3 linked regions of the Caenorhabditis elegans genome follow. The protein of the gene in region 1 purifies or fractionates together with the protein of each later gene. This does not show direct contact. Each region holds a gene or a part of one and is shown in the gene's direction. Other genes may lie near its edges.

What was found.
Region 2: the proteins of smu-1 (region 1) and gmap-2 fractionate together in Caenorhabditis elegans (co-fractionation; one large-scale study listed by BioGRID). This does not show direct contact.
Region 3: the proteins of smu-1 (region 1) and elpc-4 fractionate together in Caenorhabditis elegans (co-fractionation; one large-scale study listed by BioGRID). This does not show direct contact.

Annotation. Positions count from the first base shown.
Region 1 is NC_003279.8:12,990,477-13,002,124, forward strand, and holds the start of smu-1 (Smu-1 suppressor of mec-8 and unc-52 protein), read left to right. Parts: upstream 1-5,326; 5' UTR 5,327-5,412; coding exon 5,413-5,441; intron 5,442-5,528; coding exon 5,529-5,595; intron 5,596-5,648; coding exon 5,649-5,792; intron 5,793-6,088; coding exon 6,089-6,488; intron 6,489-7,480; coding exon 7,481-7,605; intron 7,606-8,452; coding exon 8,453-8,682; intron 8,683-8,995; coding exon 8,996-9,092; intron 9,093-10,058; coding exon 10,059-10,247; intron 10,248-10,751; coding exon 10,752-10,821; intron 10,822-11,008; coding exon 11,009-11,091; intron 11,092-11,648. Other genes in the region: nlp-15 (Neuropeptide-Like Protein), read left to right, coding at 3,751-3,945, 4,432-4,575, 4,627-4,659. UniProt on the Caenorhabditis elegans protein: Involved in pre-mRNA splicing as a component of the spliceosome. Selectively regulates alternative splicing of unc-52 exon 17.
Region 2 is NC_003284.9:12,937,834-12,948,426, reverse strand, and holds gmap-2 (GM2 Activator Protein family member), read left to right. Parts: upstream 1-5,160; 5' UTR 5,161-5,167; coding exon 5,168-5,273; intron 5,274-5,323; coding exon 5,324-5,421; intron 5,422-5,524; coding exon 5,525-5,664; intron 5,665-5,887; exon of another isoform or gene 5,888-5,969; intron 5,970-6,119; coding exon 6,120-6,219; intron 6,220-6,273; coding exon 6,274-6,390; intron 6,391-6,436; coding exon 6,437-6,513; intron 6,514-6,688; coding exon 6,689-6,875; 3' UTR 6,876-6,985; downstream 6,986-10,593. Other genes in the region: nssp-88 (Neuropeptide-Like Protein), read left to right, coding at 1,865-1,927, 1,979-2,038, 2,087-2,188, 2,486-2,575, 2,656-2,811; gmap-3 (GM2 Activator Protein family member), read left to right, coding at 7,716-7,875, 7,919-8,040, 8,944-9,059, 9,114-9,324, 9,370-9,501, 9,558-9,677.
Region 3 is NC_003282.8:8,011,370-8,021,689, forward strand, and holds elpc-4 (Elongator complex protein 4), read left to right. Parts: upstream 1-5,624; 5' UTR 5,625-5,634; coding exon 5,635-5,770; intron 5,771-5,845; coding exon 5,846-6,256; intron 6,257-6,306; coding exon 6,307-6,764; 3' UTR 6,765-6,852; downstream 6,853-10,320. Other genes in the region: Y42H9B.3 (uncharacterized protein), read right to left, coding at 1-84, 129-290, 442-848, 901-1,058; C26B2.8 (C3H1-type domain-containing protein), read left to right, coding at 2,924-2,984, 3,033-3,154, 3,200-3,293, 3,406-3,564, 3,609-3,670, 3,714-3,849, 3,900-4,028, 4,075-4,268; C26B2.7 (Cytochrome c oxidase assembly protein COX20, mitochondrial), read left to right, coding at 4,911-5,011, 5,062-5,164, 5,219-5,422; dnc-4 (Dynactin subunit 4), read right to left, coding at 6,934-7,150, 7,195-7,436, 7,481-7,913, 7,960-8,077, 8,123-8,250, 8,316-8,419; C26B2.2 (Membrane-associated kinase regulator), read right to left, coding at 9,836-10,231, 10,278-10,320.

The DNA of each region.
Region 1 (11,648 bases):
AATTTCGAAAAAAATTGTGATTTTAAAAATTTTTCCTCAATTTTTAAGACAATTTTCGACTAAATGCAAGTACCTATTTCCACCTACAAACCATAAATATTCCCACAATTAACCCCTTTTCCATGAGAATATTGTCTTTTTTTCAGCTGTTTTTTCTTCATTTCATTTCCCCATTTCCCAAATGTTTTTCAGCTATTCATCAATTTCTTTTCTCCGAGAAAAAAAAAAACAAAAAAAGCGTCAAGAATCAAAAAAGGTTTTAGCGAAAAATCTGTGAAAAAGGGAAATTACTTCCGTGTTATTTGAATATGAAATGGGCAATAAATTTTGAAAAATAAATTGGTTGAGGCTCGGTGAACACTTGTAGTTTGTAGTCTAAACCGCAACCAACGTGTGGTTAATTGGATAATTGGAATACATTTATTTGTAGTTTGTAGTCTTCAATTTTCAATTTTATCTCAATTTATCAAATTTTAGGTTTTTTTCAATTTCCGAGTTTCCCGAATTTTTAAATTTACTATTAAAAAACTGATAAATAGAGAAATTTTGAGTTAGTTGTTGTCGAAAATATAGGATTTTGAATTTAGAAAATTTTCAAAAAAATTTTTTTTTCAATATCTTAATACTTTAAGCTTTTTCAAAATAATTTTTCAATTTTAAAAAATATTTAAAAAATCAAAAAATTTAATTTTCAAAAAACTTTTTTTTGTTAAATTTAAAAAAATTTCTCAATTTTCAGCTCCTAGGCCTGTACTTCATACAAATTTTGTCCTAACTATAAGTGAAAATTGTCAACAAAAATTAATATAGTTTGAGGTCTATATGCCAAAATTCCCATTTTTAAGCTTCTGATTTTTTCACTTGCAACGAGAAAATGAAAAAGTTGCATCTCTTTTTCTGAAAATGACATACATATATATTTTTGCAAGTATGACGTTCCTTATACACATAATTCAATTTTTCATCACATCCCAGCCCTCCTGAAAATCCGATTTTTGTCACGTTTCCCACCATTTTTTTTTGATTTTTCGTGGCGGGACCCGAATGACGTCAGATATTTTAAATGACACGTATCGGAGCACAATAATCAAATATAGATCAAAGAAATATGTGTGTGTATGTGTGCTCAATGACAAATAGCCTGAAATTCTCCGATTTCGCTCCGATATTTGAGGCTGCTTGCCGGTGAGCTGAAAGACGGGGGAGGTGTCGGTTTTTTTAAGGGATTTTAGGTCATTAGGAAGGGAGAGATGTTAGAAATAACATTAATATAGGATTTTAGGTTTCAGAAATTGAACAAAAACTTATTCGAGGAAAATATAATTTTTTTAAAAAATTTCCGAAAAAATGTTTTTTGACGATTTTTTTTGGAATTTTTTTTTTGAATACTTCCTCTTAAAATTACATTTTTAGTTGTGTAACGTTAAAATTTATGTTATTTTGGATTTTCAGTCTCTGGAAATTAACCTTTTCAACCTTAAAAAAAAAACGTTTACAAAAATGTTCAAATTCAGAACTTTCGAAAAAAACACTTTTTTTTTCTACATTTTTTTTGCATTTAAATTAAAAAAAAAACACAACGATGGCTCGGATGTTAAAAATAATTTTAATTTAGGGTTAGAGTCTGAAAATTTGAAAAAAAATTTTTAAGATAAAATTTTATTTCGAAAAGTAGTTTGAGAATTTTTTCAAATTAATTATTTCCAAGACCATATTTTAGAAAATCGTTATCCAAATTTCACCATTAATTTTCAATGAAAATTTATAGAAAAGCGCTTTCGAATATTGTTAAAGTTAAATGTTTTTTCCGCCTTTTTCAAAATTTAATTTCTTCCAAGGTTCATCAACTATTTTCCAATTTATGTGGGAACTTTTTAATAAATGTTCCAATAAACCGAGATTTGTCGGATTTCATTAATCACTAATTAGTCAAAGTGGGTGAGGCTAAGGGAGACAAACTATAAGTTTTGTTAGCCTTAATTGTTTTCAGTCAATAATATTAGACGTTCTCTGAATTTAAATAAGATCTGAGATGTCTACTGTATTTATGGGGAACAGAGAAAACAAAATTTTCTCCCGACGACAAACTGTAAAACTGCTTTGCCTGAACGTACTATAGTTGTTATGCTGATGGCTTCGGTCTGTGGATAGAACATATTTGTAGTTTTTGAACTTCTGATTTTTTGGAAAATTTTAATTTTGAATTTTGAATTCCACATGTCTTATTAACCCTCACTACACAAATCTCACCCTTGGAGTACTGTAACCAGCGATAAATCGGTGGCCGAGTTTTTCTCCATTCTCGTCCAAAAACCTTTTTCCATTTTCTGACGACTACTCATTATCATAAATAATTAATTGCAACTCGTTCGTTTTCCATGCGCCACAGCCACATCAGCAGAACCCAAAAAACACTAATGCATTTCGTTTTTCTACTGATTAAAATTTCAAAAGGAGGGAATGAATGAAAAGGAACGGAGAGTAATATGTTTTTTTTTGTTTCTTGTGCAAAATGAGTGGGCTGTGGTGGTGGTGATCAAACTTCAATAATATATATGTTATGTGGGAAAGAGGGTAAGGGATTGTATTATTACTAATGTTAGTTAAATTATAGTGATACTCAAGGACCCTTATTTCTAAGAAGAGGAGGAATGGATGTATATAAGTTACTTAGAATCGTAGTAAGTATTTTTCAAAAATTCTATGATGCCACGTGGTATCAGAGCGTCTCATCTCAGTTTGATCTACGTAGATCTACAAAAAATGCGGGAGAAGAGACACTGATTTCGCATGGTTAAGGACGTGCATACGTCACAGTTGTTTGGGCAAAAACATTCGCGCATTTTTTGTAGATCAAACCGTAATGGGACAGCCTGGCACCACGTGTGGTTCCAAAAAACGGCAAAGACGGCAAAGTTTAGTTAACAACGTGAAACCCCTGTTAGTTAGCGGCGGACACTGTGCGTTTATGAATTTCCCCACATTCACGATTACCTATTTTGACAAATTTAGTATTCAACAAAAAAGGGATTAAAAAACGTATTGAAATAAATAAATATATAAAATATATAGCGAAACTTTTTATATATTAACAGAATTCACATTTAACAGTTGAAGACAAAAATATCAAACTTATAGTTTCGAGTGTCCGTCCCCGAACCCCTAAACATTTTTTTGTTAGTAGTCCTAACTTGTTTTCCAGTCCTATATTTCGTACCATAAAATTTATGCCGTGTCTTATGTCCTCCTAACATCCTGACATTTCTCGGAACTTCCTCAACATCTAATCCTCTTCAATCACTGAAGTAAATACTATTTAATCCACCTCTCTTCTTGTCAAGACCCAAGTTTGTGAGTCCTCCTTCCCAAAAAATAAAAAAACAAAATGTATCACATCTCGTGTCCAATGACGCGAAATAAAACGGGGAAGCGAAGAAGTGCGTCAAACGAAATTTTCCAATTACAAAGTGCCAACAAACTCGCCAGGCATCATGATGACATAGACATAAACATGTGTAGGGGGGCCCCTCGTTGATATTGGGATGGCTAGGGGGGTCCTGGTGGAGGGTGAAAGGGAGACACTACAAACTACAGAACTGTGTTAGCTGAGCACTATTTGAATTCAAGACATATAATTCTGTAATACTGCATCAATAGTATACTAACTTAGTTTTTTCTACATTATATAATTTAGGCAAAACTAGTTATTTTATTAACATTTAAAAAGGTTCAAATAGTTTTTAATTCCAGATGTCCACAGTGGAAAGTGCAGCTGTCCGACTACGTCCAGTTGGCTCATTGTTCTTCCTGAATCGACCTCACGAGAAAAGAGCATTCGATTCGTTAGCTGGAAGTGGTTTTGATAATGGATTCAACAAACGAGCATTCGACAGTCTTGCTGGTTCAGGTTTCGGAGCATTCAATAAAAGAGCATTTGATTCATTGGTGAGTTGAAGGTGGCCTTAAGCCATCAGGCGTGTGTGTCTGCCTACTGCCTAACTTTTTTCGGTGATCGATTAGAAAAAGCTGTTCCAAAGTTCGTTAAAAATGTTTAAAATTTTGAAGCAAACATTTTTCAATTGACGAATTTTTAAAAATATTTCTAACGGTTTTTGAGCAAAGTCCAGATTTTTAACAATTTTTTTCATGCTACAAACTACACTTGGTTTCAAAGTGTCTCATTTCGGTTTGATCTACGCAGATCTACAAAAAATGCGGGAGAAGTGACGCGTAGTTCTCAACTGATTTTGCATGGTTGAGAATGTGCTGACGTCACATTTTTCTGCGCGAAAAATTTCCGCATTTTTGTAGATCAAACCGTAATAGGACAGCCTGGCACCACGTGCCCATATGGTTAAGCTCTTGGTGAAAATGTAGTTTGTAGTTTGTAGTTTGTAGTCTTTCCTCTCCAAACAACTCCAAATTTTTCAGGCGGGAAGTGGCTTCGGTGCGTTCAACAAACGCGCTTTTGACTCGCTAGCCGGATCCGGCTTCAGCGGTTTTGACAAAAGAGCTTTCGATTCACTGGCTGGACAAGGTTTTACTGGATTTGAGAAACGCGCCTTTGATACAGTGGTACGGTTTTCGGTGGAAATTCCAGTTTTTCGAATTTTCAATAATTTTCAGAGCACGTCAGGCTTTGACGATTTCAAATTGTGAAGAGCTCACTGATATTTAAAATTTGGTTCAATTCAAGCACATATTTTTGAGGTAAGCAACTGATTTTAATGTTGTTAATCAAATGAAAAGTGAAATTTTTGGAATAATTTTTTTTTGTTTTCAGGTAGCTCCAACGAACGACACACACAAGCCCAGTCCCCCAGTATTCCTGACGACAGCCCCTGCTCACACACTTTTTATTATAATTCCTTTTTTTTCAAACTTTTTTTTCAAATTTTATACTTTAATCTCAAAAAACCTATTCATACGAACACAAGTACCGGTGTGCGTGTGTGAGAATAAGAATTTATTTTAAAAAAATAAAGAATGTCGTCCTGTTTTTTCATATTTATTGAAGAAAATGGAGCTGGAAAAAAATCAATTGTAAAAAACAGAAAAACGTGCTGATAAAATGCATTGTACGCAAACTGTGGATTTTGAGAACTAACGTAGTCAAGCAAAAATCTCTGGAATTTTATCGATTTTTAACGGATAAACTGTTGTTTTTTGTAACTGTGCATGAAAAAAAATCTCAGGCAAAAATATTTTCTGAAAAAAAAAGAGTTTAAACACAAATGCAAGTCCACAAAAAACTCCAATTTGAAATTCGCTCCAAAAACGCAAAACACGCCAAGCGCTCGTGCTGGCGCATTTGCCGATCGCTTCCAAAAAGGCTGGCGCACTTCTCGTGTCCGAGGATATTCGAATTTTACACGTCATTTTCAGCCGTTTTTCACCGAATTTTCGCTGAAAATGTCATCGATTGAGATCGAATCTTCAGAGTAAGTTTATCTAAAAAGTTTTTCATTCAAAATGTGTAAAAATTCATTTAAAATAACCCAAAAATCATTAATCCTCGATATTTTCAGTGTAATCCGTCTCATCGAACAATTCCTCAAAGAATCGAATTTGCACCGAACTCTGGCGATTTTGCAGGTATTTTCCTGCATTTTTCAACTGGGAAAATGAAAGAAAATCGATAATTTCAGGAAGAAACCAACGTTTCGCTCAATACAGTCGACTCAATTGATGGATTTTGTAATGAAATTACGTCTGGAAATTGGGATAACGTGTTGAAAACCGTTCAATCGTTGAAATTACCCGCCAAGAAACTTATCGATCTGTATGAACATGTAAGATATGGGAAAGAAGGAAAAAACCGAGATTTTACTTGAAAAATTGAATTTTTCGCGGGATTTTCACCAAAAATTGTTGAATATTCATTATTTCACGCTGTAAAACAAAAAAAAAAAAAATCAAAAACTACGTTGAAATCGCGTTTTTAAGCGAATTTTCTTCAGAATTGCCAGATTTTAACCCCAAATTTTGCAGTTTTTAAATAAAATTTCACCTTTTCGGCTCAAATTGTAGATTTTCCTGAAAATTTAGTACAAAAAACAATTTCCTCGTAAATTTTTCAAATTTTCAGGTAATAATCGAGCTTGTGGAGCTCCGTGAGCTGGCGACCGCCCGTCTCGTCGCCCGTCAGACTGATCCAATGATTTTGCTAAAACAAATTGATCCGGATCGATTCGCCCGCCTGGAATCTCTTATCAACCGCCCGTATTTCGATGGACAAGAGGTTTATGGAGATGTTAGTAAAGAGAAACGACGCTCCGTAATTGCACAAACTCTTTCATCAGAAGTTCATGTAGTTGCTCCGTCAAGACTTTTGAGTTTACTTGGACAATCACTTAAATGGCAACTTCATCAAGGACTTCTTCCACCTGGAACTGCAATTGATTTATTTAGAGGAAAAGCTGCACAGAAAGAGCAAATTGAAGAAAGATATCCGACTATGATGGCTAGAAGCATTAAATTCTCAACGAGTACGGATTGAAATTGCTTTAAAATTTGAAAAATTGATTAAAAAGTGCATTTTTTAAGCTTTGACCGACTTAAAATTAGATTTCTGAGCCTATTTTCTGAGAATTGGAATTTTTTTCATTGTGAAAGTTCAAAGAATAGCGTGAATGATTAGAAAATATTGTAAAATTTCAATTTTTTCCTATAAAAAAGGATTTTTTTAGGAATCAAAAATTGCAAAATGATGCCCTAAAATTCGAAAATAAATATAAAAATTGGCGGTTTCTCAAAAATCTAGAATTCCGACCTTAATTATTAATTTTTTTACAATATTTTTTTTTGAAAAAAATCCAGAAAATTTGAATTTCGTAGTTTGTAGTCTAGGCCTCTATCAATTAAATTTTCGATTTTTTGAGTAAAATTTCGAATTTACTATTATTTGGACCAAAATTGTATTTTTTTTTCAGAATTAAATTTATAAAATTTTCAGAAATTAAATTTATAAAAAAAAAAAAAAATTAAAAAAAAAAAAAAAAAATTAAAAATTAAAAATTAAAAAATTAAGTTTTTTTTACTCAAAATTTTGCACTGAAATTCGAAAATCTAAAAATCCGACCTAAAGTCTGTATTTTTTCAACAAAAATTCAGAAAAAACTCAAAAACTTGTATTTTGTAGCCAGTCAACCACTTTCTAAAATATCAAATTTGAATTTTTCAAGCATTTTTACATTGAAAAATCTAATTTTTCGAGTGAAACCACTTGAAAATCTGAAAATTGAATTAATTTCTGAACTTTAGAGATTTTTTGTCAAAATTTTAGATAAAGGGATTTTTAAACAAAAAATTGATTTTTTAATCGAAAAATACTGGGATTTATGGGTTTTTTAAAAGAAAAACGGGGGTTTGAATGAAAAATCGCCTGAAATCTTAGAAAATTAATTAAAAAACTATGATTTAATTCCAAAAATTACCGAAAATATCAAATTTTCCATTTTTAAACCCTAAATTCTTTCAGAAAGTTATCCCGAATCGGCAGTTTTCTCACCGGACGCTAATTATCTTGTTTCTGGCTCAAAAGACGGATTTATCGAAGTTTGGAATTATATGAATGGAAAATTGAGAAAGGATTTGAAATATCAGGTAGATTTTTTAGAATTTTTGGGTTTTTGAAGTAGAAAATCATAAAAATCTAGGGTTTTTATGAATTGTTTTGAAGAAAAATTGCAAAAATTCCACAAAATGGAAGAAAAATAACTTTGGAAGCGCATTTTTCGCAAAAAAACCGAAATTTTTGCGTAAAATTTCAAAATTGCAATAAAAATTCCACAAACATCAAATTTCTTAAATTTTTTATAAAAAATTGGATGGAAACACTCTTGAATTTAGAAAAAAAATCAGTTTTTCTCATCTAAAACTTCAAAATTTCGGTGTAATCCCATTAAAATTGCCACAAAATTCGGAAATTTCACCTGAAATAGAGTGAATAATTTAAAATGTTCAGAAATTCATATTTTGTCATTTTAAAAGCATTAAAACAAATCAAAAATCTATTTTTTTTGGTTGGAAAAGTTCAAAATTCTGGAGAAATTACATTAAAATTTTCGTAAAATATGGTAAATAAACGAAAATGTTGAGAAATTAAAGAAAAGTTACAATTTTTAGCTTAAAAATTCAACATTTTGAGGAAATGCCACCTAAAAAAGTGACTAATCGAAAATGTTGAGAAATTAAAATTGCCACCATTTATTTATATAAACTACTCTAAAATTACAATTTTCATGTTAAAAATTAATAAAAAATCTACTTTTTCCAAACTACAGTAACCTTACCGTATACCTACAGTACCTGAACATTGCCCCCCACCAGCTCCCAACCCAATACCTCCTCAAAAACTTACACCTCAATTTTTCATAAACTACAGTAACCCTACCAAAAAAGCACAAAAAAAAATCTACATTCATTTTCCAACAATTTTCAATATTTTCAGGCCCAAGATAATCTAATGATGATGGATGCAGCAGTGAGATGTATATCATTTAGTCGTGATTCTGAAATGCTCGCCACAGGCTCAATTGACGGAAAAATTAAAGTTTGGAAAGTGGAAACTGGTGATTGTCTTCGAAGATTTGATAGAGCTCACACGAAAGGAGTTTGTGCTGTTCGATTCTCAAAAGATAATTCACATATTTTGTCGGGTGGAAATGATCATGTTGTGAGGTACGACTACCTGCCTGCCTACCGCCTAAATTTTTTGTGAAGTTTCTTCAAAAAATCCAGAAAAAAAAACAATTTTCATACGATTTTTTCCCTTAAAATTGTGAATTTTCATGCTTTTTAGCCCCAAAAGTCATTATTTGAGAAAAAATTTCATACAAAAAAGTTTTGAGAAATACACAATTTTTTAAATGTAATTTTCAAATTTTCAATTTTCAACTAGAAAATTCACAAAACTTGTAAATTTTGGACCAAAACATTTATACAATTACTTTTTTTGAATCTAATAACTACAATAACTACAAATTTTGTTCAGAGTTCATGGAATGAAGAGCGGAAAATGTTTGAAGGAAATGCGTGGGCACTCGAGTTATATTACAGATGTCAGATATTCCGATGAGGGAAATCATATTGTGAGTTTTTGAAAAGTGCAGTTTGTAGTCTAATTTTCATTTATTTTCTTTTTAAAAAACGCATCAATTTTTAAATATTTTGGGACAAAATCCGAAAACTGTACTAATTTGTAGTTTGTAAAATTAAAAAAAAAACGCAAAAAAATGTTTTCAAAAATGCTTAGAATAAAAATAAAATTTCTAAAAAATTGAACAAAATAAACATTTAAAAATTCAAAAAGTTTGAAAAAATGCAAAGTTTTTTAATGCAAAAAATATTTAATGTTTAAACAAATTTAAAAAATGTTGTAAGAATATGTTTAGAGACAGTTTTTAAATGTTAAATTGCAAAAAAAAAAAAGCAAAAAAAAATTTGAAAAATGTAACAGAAAATTTTAATTAAAAAAGTCGTGTTTTTTTCAAACCTGCAATTCTTTGTAATTTTATTTATAAAGAGAAACAAATCAAATTGTATATTACGAAAAACGATACTAAAATTCGAAAATTTGCGGTTTTTTGCGTAAAAAATACGGTTCCTGAAAATGGGTGTGCACCTTTAAGGAGTACTGTAGTTCTAAACTTTCATTGCTGCAAAATTTATATCTATTTTTTGAAGTTTTACAATAAAAATAACAATTTTCATTAAATAACTACAATTAAACAGCTAAAAACATATAAGAAATCGCGAGAAAATCGGGAAAAAATTGTAGTTTGTAGTATGTTAGCCGCAATCAAATGCATGTTATCTCTGTATTTCTTTTCTCACACAAATCCCACATATTTCTATGTTTACACACGTCATTTTGTGCACTTTTTCTGACGTTTCCCCTCCATATTGATTTTGCTTTTTACTGTTTAGAAACGTTGCAGAAATCCGGAAAAATTGATTTTTTTTCTATATATATATATTTTTTTCCAAGTTTCAAATTTAAATTTCAGAAAAAAAATTTAGACTTAAAAAAATTAAAAATCCCAAATAATTTCCAGATCTCATGTTCAACAGATGGTTCAATTCGTGTTTGGCATGGAAAATCGGGTGAATGCCTTTCAACATTCCGTGTTGGAAGTGAAGATTATCCAATATTAAATGTGATTCCAATTCCGAAAAGTGATCCACCACAAATGATTGTATGCAATCGATCCAATACCCTCTACGTTGTTAATATTTCTGGACAGGTAACATGATTTTGAAAAAAAGTTTAAGAACTGAAAAATGGAATAAAAATATTTAAGAGCATTTTTAAATGTAAAATTAACAAAAAAAGCGCCTAAGAATGTTTCCAAAACAGTAAAAAAAAGGTTTAAAAAAATGCAAAAAAAAATTTAAGATGCTTTTAATTACACAAAAAATGAAAGTAAAAAAAATTAAAATATTGAAAAATGTATATTTGTTTGAAAAGGTACATTTTTCAATGCAAAAAATGTTTCTAAAAATTAAAAAAATATGTTTAAATTGTGTAAAGTGTAAATTAAAAAATAAAATTATGAAAAAGTATTGTTTCATACTTTTTCTAAATTTTGGTTGAAAAATTTAAAATTCCAGCTTTTTATTCACATTATGTGTTCTAAAAATCTTTCCCCAATTTTCGGGACCGTTTTCCAGTATATTTCCATTTTTCAAAAAGATTTTTAACTGAAATTCATGTTTTCAATGCTAAAAATCAATAAAAAAAATTTCAGGTGGTTCGTACGATGACGTCAGGAAAGCGTGAGAAAGGAGACTTCATCAACTGCATTTTATCGCCGAAAGGTTAATTTTGACCCGAAAATTGAAAAAAAAAACCGATTTCAAAATTCTAATTTTCCCATTTTTTTCTTTAAAATAATTTCTCCTCTGGAAAGGCTCGTAGAGCAGAAAAAGAATTAAATTAGAAACGGATTTTTGTTCAAATTTCCCCCGTTTTCCCCTTCAAAACTTGCAATTCAGTTTCTTACAGGAGAATGGGCATACGCAATTGCAGAGGACGGTGTCATGTACTGTTTTATGGTATTATCGGGTACCCTGGAAACTACTCTTCCCGTAAGTTTAGCCTCTTTTTGAACTCAAATTTTAGTTTAAAAAGCGAGAAAAAGTACAAGGAAAATGAGAAATCAAGTGCATGAATTGATAAGAATAGTATGGTGAGGGTGTGGTTGATGACTAGAAAAAATCGTTTTTTTTTAATCATACACAGATTTTCTTAAAATAAAAACATCAAAAATGTGTCGGACTAATTTTGTAAAATAAAATTTAATCGAAAAATGAGGTAAAGTTGAATTTTTTGACTCCAAAAACCTCTATTTCTACGCTCAATTTTGTAAAAAAAAATTCAGGGTAATTTTTATTTCAATGTCTACAAATTTTGGGGGTATTGCTACTGAAAAAGTACCGAAAAATTATTTTTTTCGCAAAAAACCGTTATTTCTGAAAAAATTCTGAAATTTATTCTTCAAAATGTTAAAAATACGCAGAATATTTCAGTACCAAAAAACTAAAAAAAAAAAACAAAATATCACAAAAAAACGAAATAAATCGAATTGCGAATTTCCCCAACTCTCGTTAGATTCCCTATTTGAATTCCTTCCAAAATGAAAACT
Region 2 (10,593 bases), on another chromosome or scaffold:
AAATAAACATATGGGTATGTTTGATGCCGATTCCTAATAATTGTCTAAAGAAATCCGTATTAACCTCCATGTGCTTTGATCGTTTCAATACCGCGACAGAACAAAAACTCCGATTTTGCTAGGTTTTTCCATCTGCCAGAGGTGGTTCTGTCTGAAACCCGAGAAAAATCCGTATTGCAACGTCACTTTGCCAAGTGATGTGCGGTAGTGTTTTGTAAAGAGTGGGTTCCTTGTTTTCCAGACGAATGCGCTAATTACTCCCGAATTGGCAGGTCCTTTCAGGTCAAATTGACGACATTTAACAAGGAAAACATTTTTAGTCGGAGAATTTCCTTCTCGTCATTTCTAATTCCACTAGTTCCCAAAGTAGATTTCGCAGATGCAACTTCAAATCACTATAAAATGTATTGTTTTTTTATTTCCGGCTATCTCATTTTTTCACTGTACGTTTTGAATTTAGTTTTCTCTTTTTCTTTGCTTGATAATTTTTGATTGTCCATCATCCTTGTTCACCCAGGTGATACTTGTCTCCGCCTTCTTTCCTTTTTTGGAAGAGCTTAGCTTATTCATTCTTTTGAAATTTTTGCTATAAAATATTTAGCTGTTTTGTAGTACCAGTCATAATTTTTTCCAGGATTTCACAAATTATCATTAAAATATTTCATTTGAGCTATGAGAAATGCAAATTGTTTGCCAAATAACTATTATGATTCGAGTTTTTGCAATCGTAAAATTCTTATCGCTACCAATAATCTTTGAGATATGTTTCACAAATTGCAAATACCGTTACGAAGACATCAACACTTTAGTAACTTTTTTTTCACGCCTCTTAATAATTCGCGATTAAAATAAATATTCAGACTTCTGTAAATAATTGTTTTGCCACTGCTGCCTTTTTTCACAAGTACACGAATAATATTCCATAATCATCTTAGAAACATCGAAAGACCTGTATATAGAGACTGACTATCAACTAGCATCTGCAATTCAAAAATAACACGATGATATGTTGCATGCTATAGGTCAAGAGCATTTTTTAACTCTTTTGTGGAAAAACTCCTGGTTTTAGTTGTTTTCCGAACTTACGTTTTCCAGCCCGCGAGTACATTCTTATACTCATTTTATTCTCCCAAATCATCACGTTTCTGATCTCCTCGTAGAATGTTAATGAAAACAGCAAACCAAGTTGATTATCTAAAAATGTTTAAAAGTTTTTTGCTCTCTCTCTCTAATTCCTCCTCCCCTATCTATCTTTGTCCCTTGTTCTGTTTTCCCTCTGTATACTACCAATTGTCATCAAATTTCCAAAGATCCTTTGAAGACTTCTTGCTCCAACTACGATAATAAAGTCGTTTCGTTTTTCCAAGGAGCAATTAGGAACCAGTACTAAACCATTTGGGCGGGGGGGGGGGGGGGGAGAGTCTTGTCTCCCCACTCATAAATAATTCACCTGGAAAACATGATTAGTATGATTTGCAAGCCAGTGAGGAGCACGTCATTTTTTTCCGAACCTAGGTATCCTCTAATTTTCGATGAGTGGTCACACTTATATTTTGCTTTTTTTTTGTCTTTTGCCTTTTCCTTCGCTTTATTTTTCACACTCAGTTTTAATTTATACTGATGTTTTTAAAATTCCGGGTAGTCTATCAAGATTCTTCATTTCCGAATTAACCTTCTCTCTCTTTCTGCATTCAAAGCTCCGCCCCTTGTTTTAACAAAACAGGTGAAGACAAAATCAAATTGCTCCTGCGCTAAAATCGGTTTCATTAACTGCCAGTTAAAATCACCCGGCTCACACTTTTTCTTAATTCCATTCCCAAAAAAATTAATCTCTGAGAATTATACTTGTACTTCACAGGACGACATGCAGTACACCTTCTTTATTCTGATTGCTTTCTTCTTCGCTGGGGTCACCATGGCCAATCAGGTAGGGACACCAAAAATAGTCAAACTTATGAATTATTCGCAAAATGTTTAGGATTGGAAAATGAGGAAGTTTGGAGGCATTGGGGGTGGTGACGACATGGCGCATTTTGATGTAAGCTTTCATGGATGTCAGATTTTTTATTTTAAAATCTAAATTCAGAGGTTCATCACGCACAAACGAGCTATAAACGGGGAGCTCCGCAGGTCCAGTATTCTTTGGGGCAAACGGGCACATGCTTCAGGGCTGAGGAATTTTGAAAGGGTGAGTCAAGGAAATTTTACTTCTTCACTTCTGTGTTTTTTTTGAATTTACATAAAGCGTTTTTTTTTTTGGAACAACACTATTCTATTGATACACTTGAGAAATCCTAATGTTTTGAAGTTTTGGCCACGAGTTTAATGCAGGTGGAATTGTTAATTTTTGGCAAAGATAGAATCACGAGGAAATTTGTCATCCCTAAATAATTTTAAAACTTATAGTTAGCAGGTGCAATCAAATGTAGTGTGTTTTCAATAAACCACTGACTCATTTCATTTATTTCAATTTAATTTAATTCAGGACATCCCTCTGATTCCTGAAGATTTCATGGTGATGTGGCCGGTGGAATCATCCGAGAAAACGATCAAAGATGAGAATAAATTCGAAACGGTAAACAAATTACTTGGAATCCACTCCTTCCTGTTCACTTATGATTCTTGTTTCCAAGATTTCATCGAATCAGATTGCAGACCACAATATTGGCCAAGACTTCAAGACAGTCGTTGAATCAACATGAGACTGAAAATGAGGAAGTGTTTTCTGATGACAATCTGAAAATGGAGCGGGTGGCGAAAGCAGGAATCCGGCCAAAACTTCAACTCAGCAGCCGGCTTTGGGGGCGTTGAAGGTGCAGAAATGAGATAGTTGATACAATTTTTCTTTCCTCCAGTCCTTGTACTTTTGGTGAAATAAAGCTGTTTTGTTAGAGCTGTGATACAAAGTTTCCATCATACAAACAGTCTATTTTCTGTCAACCGAGTATAGCTTAAAAAATTAAAGCGTTTCAACCACGTCCCGATTATTTAAATTTATAATCGAGCAGTTACTAATAAAGGAAATTCAAGTCTGGTTACACCTTTTTTTGTTAAATTTTTTTTTGAAATGTCAGAAGAGATGCTCAACAGTGGGATACTTTTTTATAATTGCAAGACGTGCCTAATCCTTTATATAAGGTTTTGCATTGGACTTCCTTAAACTTAACACTTGTTACATCTTGGAGTTTTCTAAAATATTGTCAAGGTTATTTTGTCATAAAACTATTTTAGTGCACAATTATTCCATTGATTAAAATGCATGTTCAGTAGGTTGATGTGTGCCCAAATTTATTTCTACGCCTTTAAATGAACCGTGAAATAAACCTTTTAATTTGTAATAAAATTTTGCTAATCAGTTTTGATCAAATAAAATTTAGTCCAGTTTTAAGCTCTAGTATGTATACCTGGCCATTCACAAATTCAGAATTTGGTACAACTATCACAAGCGCAGTATTAAAACTGGTTTTGTCTAAAACACTGTACATAAAGTGACATTCAGATGTGTATGTGCGTGATTTCCTGCAAAAATTGTATACCTGAATGTAACGCAAGCAGACCAGCTAACACTTTGCATAGCGCATCGTTTCCTGATCGAATAATAATGATTCACACCTATTATCTATTATCCGCGGTTAGTTGGTGAAAGGAGATGAGGGGATTCTTGGCAAATTCTCGTTTCCGACCAATTCGCAGTCTTTATCGTCTTCCACAATTTCTTAGTATTATTCGTTTTTTGCCCTGCGTGTCGGCCCACCATTCATTTGCCCTTCCACAATATCTTTCGTCACACTTTTCTGTCCAAGCGTGAACCTTTGCTATTCAAGTGCACTCAAGCGAATTGCCAGCATTACAGAAAGTGTATAAAATGATTATAAAGACGGGTGTGAAAACTGTGTATTCGCAAGATGAAAAAGTGTGGACTTTTGGTTAAAGCTAGTGGAAATTTTTATTTATGTTTTAATCGTTCAATGACTCATTTTTCTTATCAAGGGGTTTTTGCAAGATTATATAAGTTTATGATTTTTTTTCATTAAAGTTCATTTTTTAAATTGCGCAAACATGATTGATACGTGAAAAAATGAAAAGATATATTTTTTAATTTTGCTTTACAAAATTGTATTTCGGGGGGCGGATAGCTCAGTCGGTAGTGGTGACCGCTAGAAATCTGGAGGTCATAAGTTCAAGTCCGGCCTCACCCCCTAGGTTCACCCAGCCACTATTGGGCTTAATGGTATTATGCCTATCATAATTTGTAGTCCACAAAAAAATCTTTGTTTGCCAAACTTCATTAGCTCGAATGCTCTTGCGACCACTGTTAAAACATTAATTCGTCCAAAGTAGTTTAAGAGTTATTCTATATGCCGGCGGTATTATTTTTCCACTAAGTTTCCCAAATATTCTATAGTTGAGAACCGAAGTATTATAAAATTACAAATAACTGTTGCGTTATTTCTGACATTGTTTCTGTAGTTTTTGAGATTTTTTGCCCACAAACTCCATCATTCATTTAGGTCTCCATTCTTACAAACAACATTTTGAAGTCGATTTGAAAAGATAGTCACATGAACACTGATTTTGTAAAGCGTCACAAATATTTCCCTTCTCAAACACACCTAGTACACACCATTAAAAGTTCCACATTAGTTCTTGTTCTCGTAACTAGTTTTCTTTTGTGAAATTCCAGAGGAATCAAATTTTATGACAAGTTGAAAAATTAGGGCGGACGACGACGAGGTGAACACTAAATCAAAGACCATTGGAATCTTCAATGTTCTCCTGGTCAGTCATCGTAGAACATTTCGCTTCCTTATTTCAGTTTATTTTTCCTTGTGGTCTCTGCCATAGTCCCGTTTTGATTGAAAGTCTAGGTCCTTCAACAATGCATATCATACCCGATTCTCTTTTTTCATGCTTAGACAGATCTCTAAGCTTACGTAACAGGTTCCTTCCATTCGTATCGTTTTGCCCCATTTGACGATTTTTCTTTTTCACAGCTACTTTCTTGCCGCATTTGCATTAAATGCTAAACTAAGATTGATTCAAATATTAGATATGAAGATGTTTCGATGATGGAACTATTTGAATTCAGTGACTTCTGTGACTTTTTCTATACTGTTCTTGTAACTTTCTGTAAATTTTTACATAAACGGTATCTTACAGATTTGTCATGATTACAAACTGCCTGATATTACTGGCAATTTTGTTTGGATTTGCATCGACTCAGTATCTGAACTTAAACCTTCATAGACATCAAAGTTGTGCATGGAGAAAAAGTAATTATTAAACTATCGTTGTCACTTTTTTAATACTTTACGTGTTACAGGTTCTCACTGGAACCGCAAAATCGAGTTCCAGGGTGGCCACTCGGATAGTGGAGCGCTACTCAAGTCAACTGAACAGAAAGGGTGCTATGCAATTAGTGTGAGTTAGCCCCCAAGAGTGTTTTATTTTGATTTTTGAAAAACAATAACAATGCTTGATGATTGACGTTATTACAATAATAATAATAATTCATTTTCTTTAGGGAAAAGTGAAAATTCATGAGGATGTGAGCGACGAGTTGTTGATCTACTTGTCCGTGTCGACCACTGGTGACACTCAAAGACCACCGGAAGTGTGCAGGGATGCCAATCCGGACACTGGTTGTGGAGGTGTTGGATCATGGTAATGAGTTATTGACAGAAATATTAGGGAAATCATCAAGATTCTAGAGCTAGAAAAAACATTAGGAAATGAAAAAAAAGCCTTTTGAGCAGTTAATGATAGATGAACAGCTGTGAAGTACCTAAAAGTTTTAAGTTAGAGGTCACTCTTAAAACAAAAAGTATAACTATAACAATTTCATACATAAGTGTTTAACCTGCAAAATAAATTAAAAAAAAAGAACTGAAGAGAGTGGGATTCGAACCCACGCCCCCGAAGGGACTGGTGCCTTAAACCAGCGCCTTAGACCGCTCGGCCATCTCTCCACGTACTACGCTATCATAATTTGTCGTTATGTTATAACTTCAAACAACAAGATTTAGTTGTATTTCGATGATTACGAAATTTAAATTTTCGAACTTGAAAATTTGTTGTTTTGTTGTTTCCAAAAAATGACGTAAACACTGCTGTTTCAGTCTCTACTGCCGGCCATGTGATTCTTTGGACTCTCTCACGAAAATTCTCGGAGCTCAACTTGTTGTGAACGGCAAACCAGCAGGATGTGAGCCATTAAAAGTGAGCAACATCGTTAAAAAAAATTTACGATGCAGTCAATAACACTATTTTTAGAAAGGAGAATATGATAATGTTGAACTCCGTTTCTGCCTTCCGAAATTAGCTGCATTGTTGGAATGGCAGGGAATTTCAGAAGACGCGTTAGATCACATTTTAGCTGCTACTACTCAGGTTTGACAAAATGAAAATAATTATTGAAAGAAAAAGTGTGTTTCAGGAAGGAAATGGTCCACCAAAGCTTAGTCTATTTGTGACCGTTTATTTGTTCGACAAGGATATTAAACCTCTTCTAGTGTAAGTTCTGAAAATTAAATAGGTTTTAGCCAGATTTACAGTTTCATATACCATCTAACAACCATTCACTATATTCGAGACATATATGTCACATACATTACAGCTATATGAAAAATAACACTATTTTTCACGAGTAGAAAATTTTTAAACAAATAGAAAAATGAAATAATTTCAGCTCTCAACGAAAACTAGAATCTCGCATCCGTGAACTTCGCAAACTTGGCGCTGATGAGCCAGTTGACTCTCAAACTTATTGGAATCTGCCATTCAATCAAATTATCAAAAAGCAGTCAGTTTTCGTTGGATGTCACAAACTTTACGGAACCATTAGCTTGAGCGACATTCAAGCCAAGAAGAAATAAGAAAATATATTTGGATGAACAACGATGATAACTTCATGTTTATTCATTTCGTTTATGCGGGTTCATTTTTTGTGAATTATGAAATAAACACAATAAAAATTATGAATTAGATAAGCAAATTGATCTTGACATTTAATAAATAACAGTCAATCTTTATGGTGATACTGTGCTCAAAGACTCGTTGTGTAAAAAACAACAGTTTTGTCTGGTATCCTTTTGAGTATGTTTTTTTACATTTCTTCAATATGCATTTTATTCAATACAACCTCAATATTTTGCTAGCCTCAAAATGTTTCTGGGATTTTGTTCAAAGTATTCTGTATACCCTTTACTTCTAGAATTTTTATTCTTGTGTATACAACAGTACACGAATTCTACAGAAAAATCTTGCAAAGTTACTAATAGTAAGGAAAACTGGAACTATATATGTTGTTGGTTAGAGATCATAAAGTGATATTTATGTAACACATCTGTAAAACTTTATTGCATTTGTTCTCACTACTAGTTGAAGGACATAAGGCTTTTGATTCATTATTTTCCTTTTTTTTTACTTTTTTCCCCTTTCCTTTTCTTTTAATCTCTTCATCTTTTCAGAATCTCATAACCTTCATGACCTCGAAACGCCATCCGACAATCATTTCACATTGAGGTAAAAGTAACACGAAAAAGAAAGAAAAAACGAGAAAAGTGGTTTTGATGGCTGTCAGACTTTTATTACACATTTGTACAATTCATATCTATATTCCCCTTTCACCCCCACCGTCACTGTAAACTATTCTAAAATCCAGCTGAAAAGGGGTGTGAAAGAAGGGCACGTCCTCGTCGCTTACTTCATAAGCCATGACACCTTCATTTGCGCATCGGTTTCAGTCGCAGATGTTGGTCGTTTTCTTAGCTTCATCGTGTCTTTTCGTTTCCATTTCCAACGCGTTGGAAAACGTTGAGTTGGGAAAAGATCTGAGTGTAACTCTTGAACTCATCAAACATCAACCATGCAAAAGTAGGTTTACGAGATTTTAAACCAAAGCTTATTTGGTTTTCAGGTGGTAAATGGACAAAGAAGTTAGAATTCGAGTCTGGAAATGATAGGAGAGGCCCGAAACTTGAACCACAAGCCGATAAGCCAAACTGTTTTACTATCGGAGGCCAAGTAGAAGTTCTAGAGGTAAAATATTGTGCTTTTTGTTTTGTTAATATTCCGTGTCTTGAAGGAGGACTAACGGTTTGGATGATTTTGAACGTTCAAACCCAAAATGAGCTCAAATAAACGAGTTTCGTAAGGAAACTTCTGATAAATTTTTCAAAATTTTTTTATGGCGGTTCAAAATTTTGAAAAAAAAATACACTGATTTTAGCTAAAATCTCGATTTTTGGCAACTTTTCCGTGTCGCAGCGGGGGACGTAGTTGACTTTTTTGGAATCATCGCCCTTTATTGCATATTTTGGTAGTTTATCTCATCCAATTTCATTGATTAAGGCACATTTAAAGCCGACAGGTAACCAATTTTGATGATTTTTGGTTACCTATCGGGTTTAAATCAATGAAATGTGATGATAAAAAATTACCAAAAGATGCAGGAGGATAATTCCAAAAAAGACAACTTCGGACCGCTGCGACACGGAAAAGTGGCCGAAAATTGAGATTTTAGCGAAAATCAGTGTATTTTTTTTCAAAATTTATTCATTCCAGCCCAATTCGGATTTATACGTTCAAAATCGTCCGAACCGTTAGTCCGCCTTTAAGACCGTGTTTTTAAGAACATCAACACAATCTGTATCTTTAAATGTAGTCTGTACAATTTAAAAATCACTAAATTATACCTTACTGAATTATTATTGGGCAAATTGAATTTTTTTATGCCAACGTGACAACGTGACAACATTTTAAATCAATATCATTCAAAACTTAATGTTTTTTTTCAGTATTTGTGTAGCGTATCAAAAGTTTAAAAATTATCTTACCCTGAGAAATAAAGAATTCATCACAACTTCTTATTACTCTCTAAGTATATACTTTGAATGAACAATAAAGCTACATAAAAAAATAAATTGAAACTCTCTATTTCAGGACTTTGGCGGAGATTTCTCCATTTATCTTGAGCTGAAGAACACTGCCAAAAAAAATACTGTCCCAGAGAAATGTGTTCGACAACCTGAAAACGGATGTGGAGGATTTGGGTCTTGGTTTGTTGCTATTAATTAATGTTGTCATACAATATTGATTTATCTTTTTTTCAGCCTGTACTGCAATGCATGTGAAACATTCGGTGACAAATTAGGAGTTCGAGCACAGCTGCTCCTCGATGGTCAACCAATCAGCTGCGCTGACGGATTGAAAAAAGGCAGCTATGACAACTTGAAGCTTGCTTTCTGTCTTCCAGACATTGATGATGTCATCAGCTCACAAGGGCTTAGTAAGGAGTCATTCTTGCAGCTGATTCAGGGTGATGTAAGTCTAAAGGTCAAAAAAGCAAAAACTGGCTGGAAATTTCAGGACGGAAACTCTGTTCGTGCTATGGGGATCTTTGCTACAGTCTACGTGTTTGACTCTGACGTCAGCAAACAAATGGCGACTCAAATCAAAATCGAGGGTGTATACCGTAGAACCAAGTACAGTTTTTTCAAGGTAAATCACAAGCTGAATTTTTCTCTTTTTAAAAGAGTATTTCAAAAATGTTACAGGACACTCAACTTCCGGCTGAAGTCTACTGGTCTCTTCCATTCAATCAAATTATCAAAAACCAACAAAGCTACGTGGCATGCCATAAGATTTACGGAAACTTGAAAGTTAACCGTAAATAATTTGTGATTTTCTAACCTAATTTTGCTTGTCTGTAAATAAATTTATTATTTTTTGAAATTTTTTGTGACTGTAAATCATACGATTTGGTGGCCCATGAAACAGTTGACGTGAAATAATACGTGCAAAGGAAGATTTATAACAATCAAATTCAGCAAAGAAAATAACAAGGAAGCTATTTCTGTGGGTGGCAAAAGTTTGACAACACAAACAATTTTATGGACTTCAAACTAAACAGTATAAAAACTGAGACCCGGCCATTACTTTGTATTACATTTTTAAATTAGTCAAATATTTTCAGAGCAAGAACCTGTTTTATTATATTATGGGTTACACATTTTATCTTGCGAGCTATACTTAAAAACCGACTGTTAATATAAATGTTCCATGGAGCCTAAAAATGTATGATTTTGTTACAACTCATTGATAACCATAGTGCCGCTCACTATAGAAATGACACAATGGACAAGAAAAGATCAAAATTTATCCAAAAAAGATAGGTTCCACCGAGATTTGAACTCGGGTCGCAGGATTCAAAGTCCTGAGTGCTAACCGCTACACCATGGAACCCGGTGAGCTTCGAGAACTTGCTCCGAAAGAACATTCGGTTAATAGACATGCTGAGTTTGCTAATGCACTTATCGGGAAGGCCCAGTCGCTCAGTTAGCAGTGAGCACATGAGCGGCTACAATGTGCTAAAGAGTGTCTATCGCAGCGATCAACATTTCTAAATGTCAATTCTGATAGCAAAGTTTTATGGATAACAATTCTGTGTTAATGTAGTTTCCATATACCTTTTTTCGGGTTTCAAAAACTTTATCTTTGGTAAACATCTTTTTTCTGTGTGAAACTTAATTAGTGTATTCTGTTGCTACAATTGTTTCTACCCGATTAATTGATAACTACAGTAGCACTTGC
Region 3 (10,320 bases), on another chromosome or scaffold:
CTTCACAGAATCTGGCTGAAACATCACGATATGTCTCAGGAGCCGCATCGCTGACTGCACGAAGACGAATTGTGACGTCAGAAGCTGAAAATTCCAATAAAAACGTTTAGTTGTACCCAAAAACTCACCAAAAGTTGAAATTTGCCGATCAAAAACGAGCTTTTGCTCAACGTTGAATGGTTCACGTGGCTTCAATCGTAGAACTTTTTCGATTTTTTGTTGAACCTTCACAACTTGTCGCCCGCCATCCTCTTTCTGGAGATTTGTAAGCATTGATGTCATCAAGAATACTGAAAGAAAACAAATTATATTGGTTAAAAAGGGTTTAGCGGCTTGAAAATGACATTGCCTCTGTAATTTTGGGCAATTTGATATATTCGGAAAGTTCCTAGTTTTGGAATTTGTAGAAAATTCGGGCTGCTCATGTTTTGAACCACGTACCATATGGATCCTGTGGTTTCTGAAGTGATTGCAAGTTTGCATACTGATGAGATTCAAGATCAAGTTCTTGTCGAATTTCTTTCTCTCTACACTCAATACAACATGCTCGCTTTTTTATTTCTGGAACTTCATCAATGACAGCTTCCTCCACTTCACTGTTATTTTCTCCAATCACAATACTCGCTACATCCTCTGAAATACGCATCGACGGTGCCTTCTGTTCGTCAAATTCTTCGTTTTTTGATTTTGAACGAAAAGGACTCAATCCGTTGAAAACTGTTGTGATAGAAGATGTACTTCCCAGTGAAGAGTATCCAGACGAAGAGCTTGCTAAACTTTTGCTCGCCAGACTTCGTGACGCTGCAGAAGATAGTGATGACGTCGCACTGCTATTTTTCTTTGGATATCTGAAATTTGATGCCGCTATTGAGCAAGGGGTGTCTCAGGTCATAAACTTACCGATATTCGATAGGAAGTCTGCTGTCAAAGTGATCTATCAAATTGCGATTTTTTCGTGACTTCTGTTGAATGTATTGAACATCATATCTTTTTGGTGTTGTTGCTATGATCGGTGACAGAGTGTATATGTTCTCAATTTCAGCATATGTCTGGTCCATTTGCTGAAATTGTAATTGATGAAGTGGGAGAAGAGAGGTGAGAGTGCAAGATAATTAGGTGATAGGTCATTGAGCAGCTGTAATTATTAGTACCACAATAGGGAAAAGAGAAATATGAGATGGATTATGATGGTTTATATGTATTAATATTATCAACGATCATCTGGAAAAGGATATGAGGGGAAACAATAAGGTAATAGTATCATCAACAACAGCTGTGTGATATTTGGAATATAATTTGGTGAAATTATTGGCTAGGCAACAACTCAAAAATTATGAAAACGTTTTAGTTGGAAGAGCATAGCAAGAATGTAACGAGACTATTTGAAAAATATTTTCTAAAATAAGTTAACAAAAAAAAATCCAACTCAAAAAATCCAACTAAAATCACAAGCTATTGAAATCACTGGAATGGTTCGAAACAAAAACAACAAAATCTATGTAAATAAGGAGAACTACCAAGAAAATTAATTACAAAAATTGAACGCATACTAAGAATATATAATAAACACAGTGAGCCCAAGCACATCCTCAACATTCTCCCCCCGTCCACCCAGTCTAGCTCCACCCTCACTATCTACGAGCCATCGAAACAACTGCAGCAGACAGCTGGAAACATTTTCCCACTGTAGGGATCAAAAGATCAAAGATTAGTTTTGACAATTTTGTGAACGATTTTTTAGATTCTGAAAAAGGTTTTTTTTTTTGGTAAAAAACTAGTCGAGATAGAAATCTGTAAGTTTAATAATGTAAAAAATTAAATTTAAAAACCAAATTTGGGAGAAAAAGATGAGAGAAATTGCAATTTTGAAATTGAAAGGGGATATTTATGTTCATGAAGATTTAGTAAAAATCTAAACTTCAATTGGAAACTCTCATAAATAGGCTAACCTTCGAATAAATGACCAAAACATAGATTTGGCATTCTAAATATCAATCCATAATATAAAAATTGAGATGATACAGGTGTACATTGCTCTGTGGGTGATCACAACACAATAGCGTTAAATTGGCAAGTGTGGATATGATGGAACATCTGGAATGGAACGCGAAGAGCAGAGTTGATTTAGGAGCAAAAGATCAGTCCAGGTGTAAAATTGGGTCACAATGATGTTTCAATGTGTTTTCAGTTCTACGTGTAACAGACCCTCATCTTGTTGATATGGAAGAGCATATTAATAATTTCGTTAGTAACTATCTAGCTGCCAGACAATCTCACTTCCACACTTACAATCACACTCAGACAGAATACTTCAACTTGCTACCGTAATATTGTTTATTGTCGCCTTCCGGTTTAATTGCAGGTGCACCAATCTCCACCTTCACTCACGAATCACCTTCTTTGACCTACATTTTCAACTTGTAAAGACACCTGTGAAACATCATGGTACGGTACATTGGAGATACTGTTGACTTTCAAACAATTACAGAATCGATTAAAAAACTATTTACTGTTAGATACAGGTTACTTGGTATTACACACCCACTTCGCCTTCATACACTCTTCACTTTTTCCAAAGATCTAAAGATTGAGCACACAAGAGAAACTACAGAATGGTCAGTAATTATCGGCAGATTAAAAAGATATTTCCCTGCGTTCACACCCTTTCTTTGTCTATCCTAGTACCCATGAGAACCGTCAGATAACGCCGAGTTTTTTTTTGGAAATCGATTTCATATTCCAAGTTTGGTCAACAAGAATGTGTTGGGCATCATGTTTGCGAGCGGATTTGGATTGGCACGTAAATATAAACAAACGCTTCCTGCTCGAGGTGCGACCATGGGCTCCGCGGTATATAAATCACCGAGAAATGCTACATTTCATAGCCGTCTTCCTTATTTGTTTTTTGCCAGCTATCGATAACATGCTCAACACGGTTTTTATTATGCTACTTCTCCCCGCAGCAGGATTATGTGCTAGATACAGTAAGATTGAAATTCAAAGTTAGGCTGTGTTTACAGTGAAAATTCTAGATTCACACCTCGTCAAAGGATGGTCCAATTCGGATTGTGTTCGCCCTTGGCAACAACCGTTAATGAGTAAACCAACATTAAGAATACCATCGAGAGCTATCGAATGCCATCCAGAAGAACACGTAGGTCTATTTTATGAAGAGTTCAATAATCAGAACCAATTACAGGATTGTCCAACAGGAAGAAATGCGGTATGCCAATACTCATTAAGAAGTCAGAAATATGTCTGCTGTGAGGACAAGAAAGATGCCGACATCCCGAGTGAGTTGACGCGACGATCTCTTTGACACATTGCCGTCTTCCTCCCGCCACGTGTCAAAGAGACCGCACGTATCTCTCATACTTCCGGTACGATCTAATATTCTTCTTTCAGCATGTCCAAAGTTCTATGAGACTCTTCTCTTGCCATGTGGGAATTCAGTTGATTCGCAATGCCCACGTGGATACCGATGTCTGGGAAGTCTCGGAGATGATTCGGTTAAACTTTGCTGCAAACCTAACAGAACATTAGAATACAGAGAACCAGAACACAGTAGGTGGCTGAGATAAAAGAATAAGGACATAATATTATTACAGCATTCCGAGAGAATCGAATTGTCCCTCGTCTGTTGCCAGTTGCTCCGGCATATGAACTAATTGTATGTTAAATGATGAATATAATACTAAACAACTTGATTGTAGGCAACCTTTAGCGACGAACAAATATCGATGGGTCAACTTTTCGACGCTGATATACTGGACAAACTTGCAGATCCTCCAGTCATGTCAGCAGGAGTTGAACTTCAAGACGAGAAGCTCTATACAATTATACTTGCAGGTTTTTTTGCTACAGTTAATTACAGGTATAATAAGCATTGTTATTGACAGATGCTACCTCAAAGGCTGTCACTTGGCTGGTTGCAAATATTGCGGCATTTGATGGACAGCTTGAGATTCATAGAAGAACAAAGTCTGCTGTGTCTTATCAACCCCCAGATTCTACTGATAGACCAGTTGGTAAGCTCGAATATATTTTTTCGTAATCTTAAACACAAAATTTAAGGAATGCACACCATGATTCTTGCGCTCTATGAGCAGAATGACACGTGGACACAGAAAGATTTGGCTAGAATTGCAATGGATGATTTCAACTTTACAGAATGGCTTGAAGAATATGCCCATGTACTTCCTGCACAGGCACTTGCAGCAACATTTTATGGATATTCTACTAAAAAGGACGATAGAAAACGAATCTAATTTATAATAACTTAAGATTCCTATTTATGTACAAATTTTAATATATAAAAAGAATGAAACATACGATAAAAAGTTACTAAAAAATAATTAAAATGAGAAAAAAAAACAATGTTAAAATTAGCGGCGAAAAGCTAGATTATTTACGATAAACAACATGCGCGCCCGTCATTTCGGAGTCTCGTAGTTTCAACAATCTTTTTTTTTGAGGCCCCACGAAAAGGGGAGCAGAACGAAAAGGGGATCTGAAAAAAGGGGATCTGCGAAAAGGGGAGATACGAAAAGGGGAGATACGAAAAGGGGAGCAACGAAAAGGGGATCTGACACTGTGCCAAACGCTATTTTTCTCGAAGAAAACGATACAACGATGCTCCGATGTTACGCGTCGCGTGTTGTTAAGCGTATCTTCTAGAAGAAAATTTCAAAAATCAACGTGCGTTGCGTGAGAAAAATTGCGTTTTGTGCGTTTGGCACAGTGCCAGCTCCCCTTTTCGTTGCTCCCCTTTTCGTATCTCCCCTTTTCGTATCTCCCCTTTTCGCAGATCCCCTTTTTGCAGATCCCCTTTTCGTTCTGCTCCCCTTTTCGTGGGGCCTCTTTTTTGAGGAAATTAATTTTATAAAATTATTTTGAATTTCCTTTTTAAGATGCTTCGCATTATCCAACGTATTCCTACTGAACGATATCTCTGTACTCTTCCTGTGAAAAATCCAAAGCTTCACAGAACTAAAGATCAGAGAGATATTACGTAAGATTATGCTTTTTTAAACCTTCAAGTTTTTAATCAACAATTTTCAGAAACATGGACTTACTTGAAGAACAAATTCGTATTAAAAGCGCAGAAAAAAATCGCGAAATGACAATACAAGGACAGAAAGTGAAATGGGCTTATCGATCAGAGGTAAATTATATATACTGAAGAATATTCTAAAAACTGATTTAAATTGATTTCCAGCTTGTCGGCCGACATGACCTCGATAAAAATCATCGTAATACATGGATGGCTTACCTAATCATTATTCTTGTCGGATTCGGTGCGTTTGTAACAGTGAAATCTCAGGTGGTAATGGGTCGACGCCAGGAAATGGATGCTCGCGAAGCTCTCAGAAAGGAGCTGCAATTGAGTGGAGACGATCGAAAAAAGATTGGAGTAGTCTGATAATAATTCATATTGTTTTATTGCGGGTTTCTTTATATATTTTTTAGTTAGAACCCTATTTTTGTTTTTAGAAATAATAATTAGTTTGTTTAAATCTCATTTTTCTTTTCTGTTTCTCAAATTACATTATGGTTTGGTAATAACCTTGCAAATATTTTTATCGTAATTTCCTGGTCAACATCAATATTTCATATTTTTAAAGTAATTTCAGAATGTTGAACGTTGGTGATAGTGTTCAAATTGCCGGATGTTCAACAAAGAAACGCTTACTGGAAACTTCAAGTGGTTGCGATTCATTTGACACACTCATTGGAGGAGCTTTAGTTAATTCAAGTATTGTTCTCATAGGTAATTTATTAATTTAGTTGCTACCTGTTCATTAAATACCCGCTAACCTAAAATTAAAATCACATTCATTTTCAGACGAGTATCGTTCTCGTTGCTATGGATCTTATCTCATTCGTTCATTCCTCGCAGAAGGACTTCATCATGGTCATCGATGCTTCATTGCGGATCCCACGGAAGATCCCAAAGAGATCAATCTCATACCATCTAGAAGAACATCCACGGATATGCAAAATCAAGAAATTCCAAATTCTCTGCCGGCAGAAAATGAAAACTCGATGAAAATTGCGTGGCGGTATGGAAATGTAAAACAAGTTTCCTCTTCCCTTGGACCATTAAGCAACGAAAATCAGTATGACTTTACGAAGCATGTAGAGAATCCGAATGTTGACGTGTATGCGGAGAAAGTTTTTACGCTAAAAGGGATTTACGAGACGCTCTGCCAAATTGTAAAAGAAAATGAAGCTCACACAAAATCCGGCGGAAGAGGTGAGATTTTTATTGAATTATTATACATAAACTAATGAATTTTACTTCAGGTGGACCGAAAAAGAATCTTCTTCGAGTGGTTCTGAAGAATATCGATATGGAAATTTGTGAAGATTACAAGTTCCTTGGCCGATTCCTGTGCTGTCTCCGATCTTTAGCTCGTTCGAGTTACATGATTGTATACATCACGGCTAACTCCTTCAGAGTTCCGAAACCAACTTGGCGTATACTGGAATCCGCAGCTGATACACATATTCAACTGATGCCGTTTGATGAAAATGAGAAGAAAATGTTCAAACATCTTGGCACTGCTCATGGATACTTCCATTTGAAGAGTTTGCCCCGATTGATGTCCGTTGGAACACACACTCCACCGATTCTCGATCTTATTTTTGAAGCAAGTTCCAGAAAAGGTTTCCAAATTCGAGTGATGCATCTTCCACCTGCATTTGATGAGCCAGCTCCAGGTCATCAAAATACTCCATCTTGCCAGAATATTGATTTTTGATTTTCTCGATCATGTTTATTTGTTGTTGGGATGTTTGAATGTTGAATTTTAAAGTATTTAATTTAAAGCATAAAAACGTCTTCTAAATATTTAACAAAGCTTATAAATTATGTTTAAGAAAAGACACGCTGTGGTAGAGAAAGGATAGAAACAAATATACATGAAATGATTATCTGAGATCTACTTTTAAATTAGCAGAGAGAATTGGATCAGGACACGTTTCTTCTGGTTTCAATATTTTGTCACTAGCGGAGGAGAGACGGAACGATCCATCCTGACAATATGTAATCAAAAGATTGAGACATGGAGAAGAGAGATCCATCTCGGTGGGAATAACATCCAGTCGAAGGCCAACTCGGTTGTGCTGTCGGAACACGATGACGTCACTGGAATACCATTTTTAGTCAATTAAAAACAAGAAAAAACTAACCTTTGGTCAGCATGAACTCCAGGAGCAGCAGTATCCGATGCTCGCGATGATGGAAGAAGAAGCTGGATTGGATCACTGGAACATTGAATGAAACCATTTCCAGATTGAGGTGCGATAGTCAAATCCATTGCAGATGATGATAAGTTGGTAATAGAGAGAAATACGTGTGATGTCTCCCCAACTTTAAGATCATCAACCGGTCGAGACATTCTGATGTCAGGAACAAATTGACGGGCAAATGACTGAAATTTAAACTTTTTACATTATTGTTGAATGAGCTACTCACCGAAATTTTAAATTTAAAGGTAGTAACTCCGAAGTCTCGTTTGATAAGAGTTCTTTCGCACTCATCACATCGAACTTGAACTCTTCCAGCCAGAGGAACTTGTACAGGAAGGAGTGGCTCAGAGATATTGATCAATGGTTGCATTATGATTTGATCGAGAGTTCTCAGATCATCCGTTCTTTCTTTAATCTCATCTTCAAGAGTCGGCGCTTCTGTTGGAGCATGTGCATCAACTGGATTCATTTCAGGAGCCAGTGCTTTTTTCCGCTTATCTACCATTTGTTGAAATCCAAACTTGTCTTTCAAGTGAAAAGCAGTCCAGGCTTTGCCCGATTTTCCCTTTTTCAAATCTTTTGGAGCATTTTCAATCAATTCAAGTCTCTTCATGTATGCCGTCACCTCACCAAGTTGATTAACCAATGGATTTTCTTTTCTGTATAAATAAAATGTCATAAGATCATATTTACAGTTAGTCATACGTTGGCCAGGATTTAGTATTCTCTTGATCTTCTTGATTCGCTTCTCTTGAAGACCAACGACAGTACTGACAAACCAAATATACATTATCATTTTCTGTACGAGCACTCAGAACGTTAGCTGAAAATATTCAAATATATTTACAAAATAGTGGATAAATCATACCACACTTAGGACAATCATTGCAACTTGCGCATTTATGCTTTTTAAGTCTTGCTTCAGGGACGCTTGATGGTTCAAGGCATCGAGGACAGAAAATATTGTCAACTTCTCCCAAGCTACAGTCATCACACCTGGAAAAGTTGGTTAATTTTTTTTTTCAATTATTTTTAGACAATTACCCATTAAAAAAACTTACTTAATTTTGAAGCAATATCGGCAGAAAACAAGGTCCGGAAGGGTTCGAAATTTTCCACAGGTGCACTCGTATTTGATTCGACTGTACTGCAGCAACTCGCTCATATTGAGAACCGCAACCGCTCCTAAATGTTAAATTTTTAATTCGAAAATTTGAAAAAGTAGCAGTTTAATGTTATTTTAATCACAAAAATTAATGTTAAACTTAAATAATTATTTTTGTAAAAAAAACTATTTCACAACACGATCTCGTCCCTCGGCCGCGCTGAGATTTCTCGGCCACAGTATCGCACTCTCTCCTTTTAACATGGTCTCTCGCACGAGAAATTAGTACCCGCACAACTGGAATACGGAAAACTCAATTAATGTTGAAAATGCATATAAATAAATACGAAGGTTATTGAGGATGGAACACCTTTGACTTGACATCAATTACAAATATTTTAGAAAACAAATTAACTAATATTTTATAATCCGGATAGGGATTTCATTTGGGAGAAGATTGCATTTTACATACTAATTAAAATTGGGCTGGCAGGTCGTCGACGCAAGTGTATGTTATTACAGGAACACGATATTCTAAGAATGCATATTGCGCAACATATTTATAAAAATATATATTTGACGCGAAATAAACAAAATATCTCGTAACGAAAACTACAGTAACTCTTTTCATAAGTAACTACTGTACTGGTGTCGATTTACGGAAATAATTTTTAATCGATAAAATATAAATGGAAAACAGAAAAATGACAAAACAGTACGAATAAAACAAAAAAATAAAATCTCTGCCACAAGTGTTTTCGAACGGTAATTCGTTTCGAAAATCGGGACCGTAAATCGACACCAGCGCTACAGTAGTCATTTAAAAAAGTTTCGTAGTTTTCGCTATGAGATATTTAGTTCGTCAAATATGTTGGCAGTGAAATTCTCACTCGTTTTTCTTGGATAGTTGGGTAGAGTAAAGGGCTGGCAGTGAAACCGTACCAAACCACGCTATCGTGGTAGGCGTGATACAAGTAGTTGTACTACTTTGGCGAAAAGACCTTCCTAATCTGCAAAATCTTGAAGGTATACTGAAAATAAGATCGAGATTTGAGAAGCTGAAATTGTCGAACCTTTGATACTCATGTCAAAACTCCGATACAACATTGTAAATTTTTTGTGTGCTTAGCCTTCACGTGAAAAGTGAGTTTTCCACTGAACACCGTGAATTTCAGAAACATTTTCAGAGCGGAATTTACAGATTTCCAGAGGTCTTCGGCAAAATTTTATTTGATTCTGGTAGCTGATTACTTAATCTTTTCACAAAAAAATAAAGTATAACTTCTGTTATACTTCCAAGTTTATCCTAAGACCTAGTCAGAGAGGCATTTTTCTATTATATTCAGCACAAAAGAATGTAATTGGTTCTCAGTGAACATATTCTTAAACGACGTTTTAGTGTATTCTTCCCAAAAATCAAAAAAATTAACATTTACTAGATTGCAAGTTTATTCAAGTTCAAGAGATTCGCCTTCTTTAATCAAAACAATCGGCCACTTTAACGAACAACTCAAGGCTGCCGTCAGTCCCAGATGGAACGAGTTTTCCAAATTCGTGCTGCTTTTCGGTAAAAGTAGACGAAACGGACGTATGGGAACTGATGGATGAAGCATCAGAAGCGTGAGAAGAGGACGAAGAATATATAACTCCCAAGTTCACATAAATAGTCGGTGGCGATTTTGAAGATGGAGCTGGCGGGTTATAGTCTCTTCCGAAGATCTTGTTAATCTGCGACAAGTCGACCATTGACCTCTTCTTGCGAGTATTTCTACCCTTGAGAACCTGTTTTGCAGGGTTCATCGTGATTTTCGATCCGATCTCAGACTTTTCCGAGTTAAAATTAGTTGCCGATGATGAAAGCGATAGGTTTTTCTAAAAGTTCAGAATATTAAACTTTCCAGCAAAAAATATGATTTACCACAGTCGAACTAGACATCATTTGAGGAACAAATCCACACGAG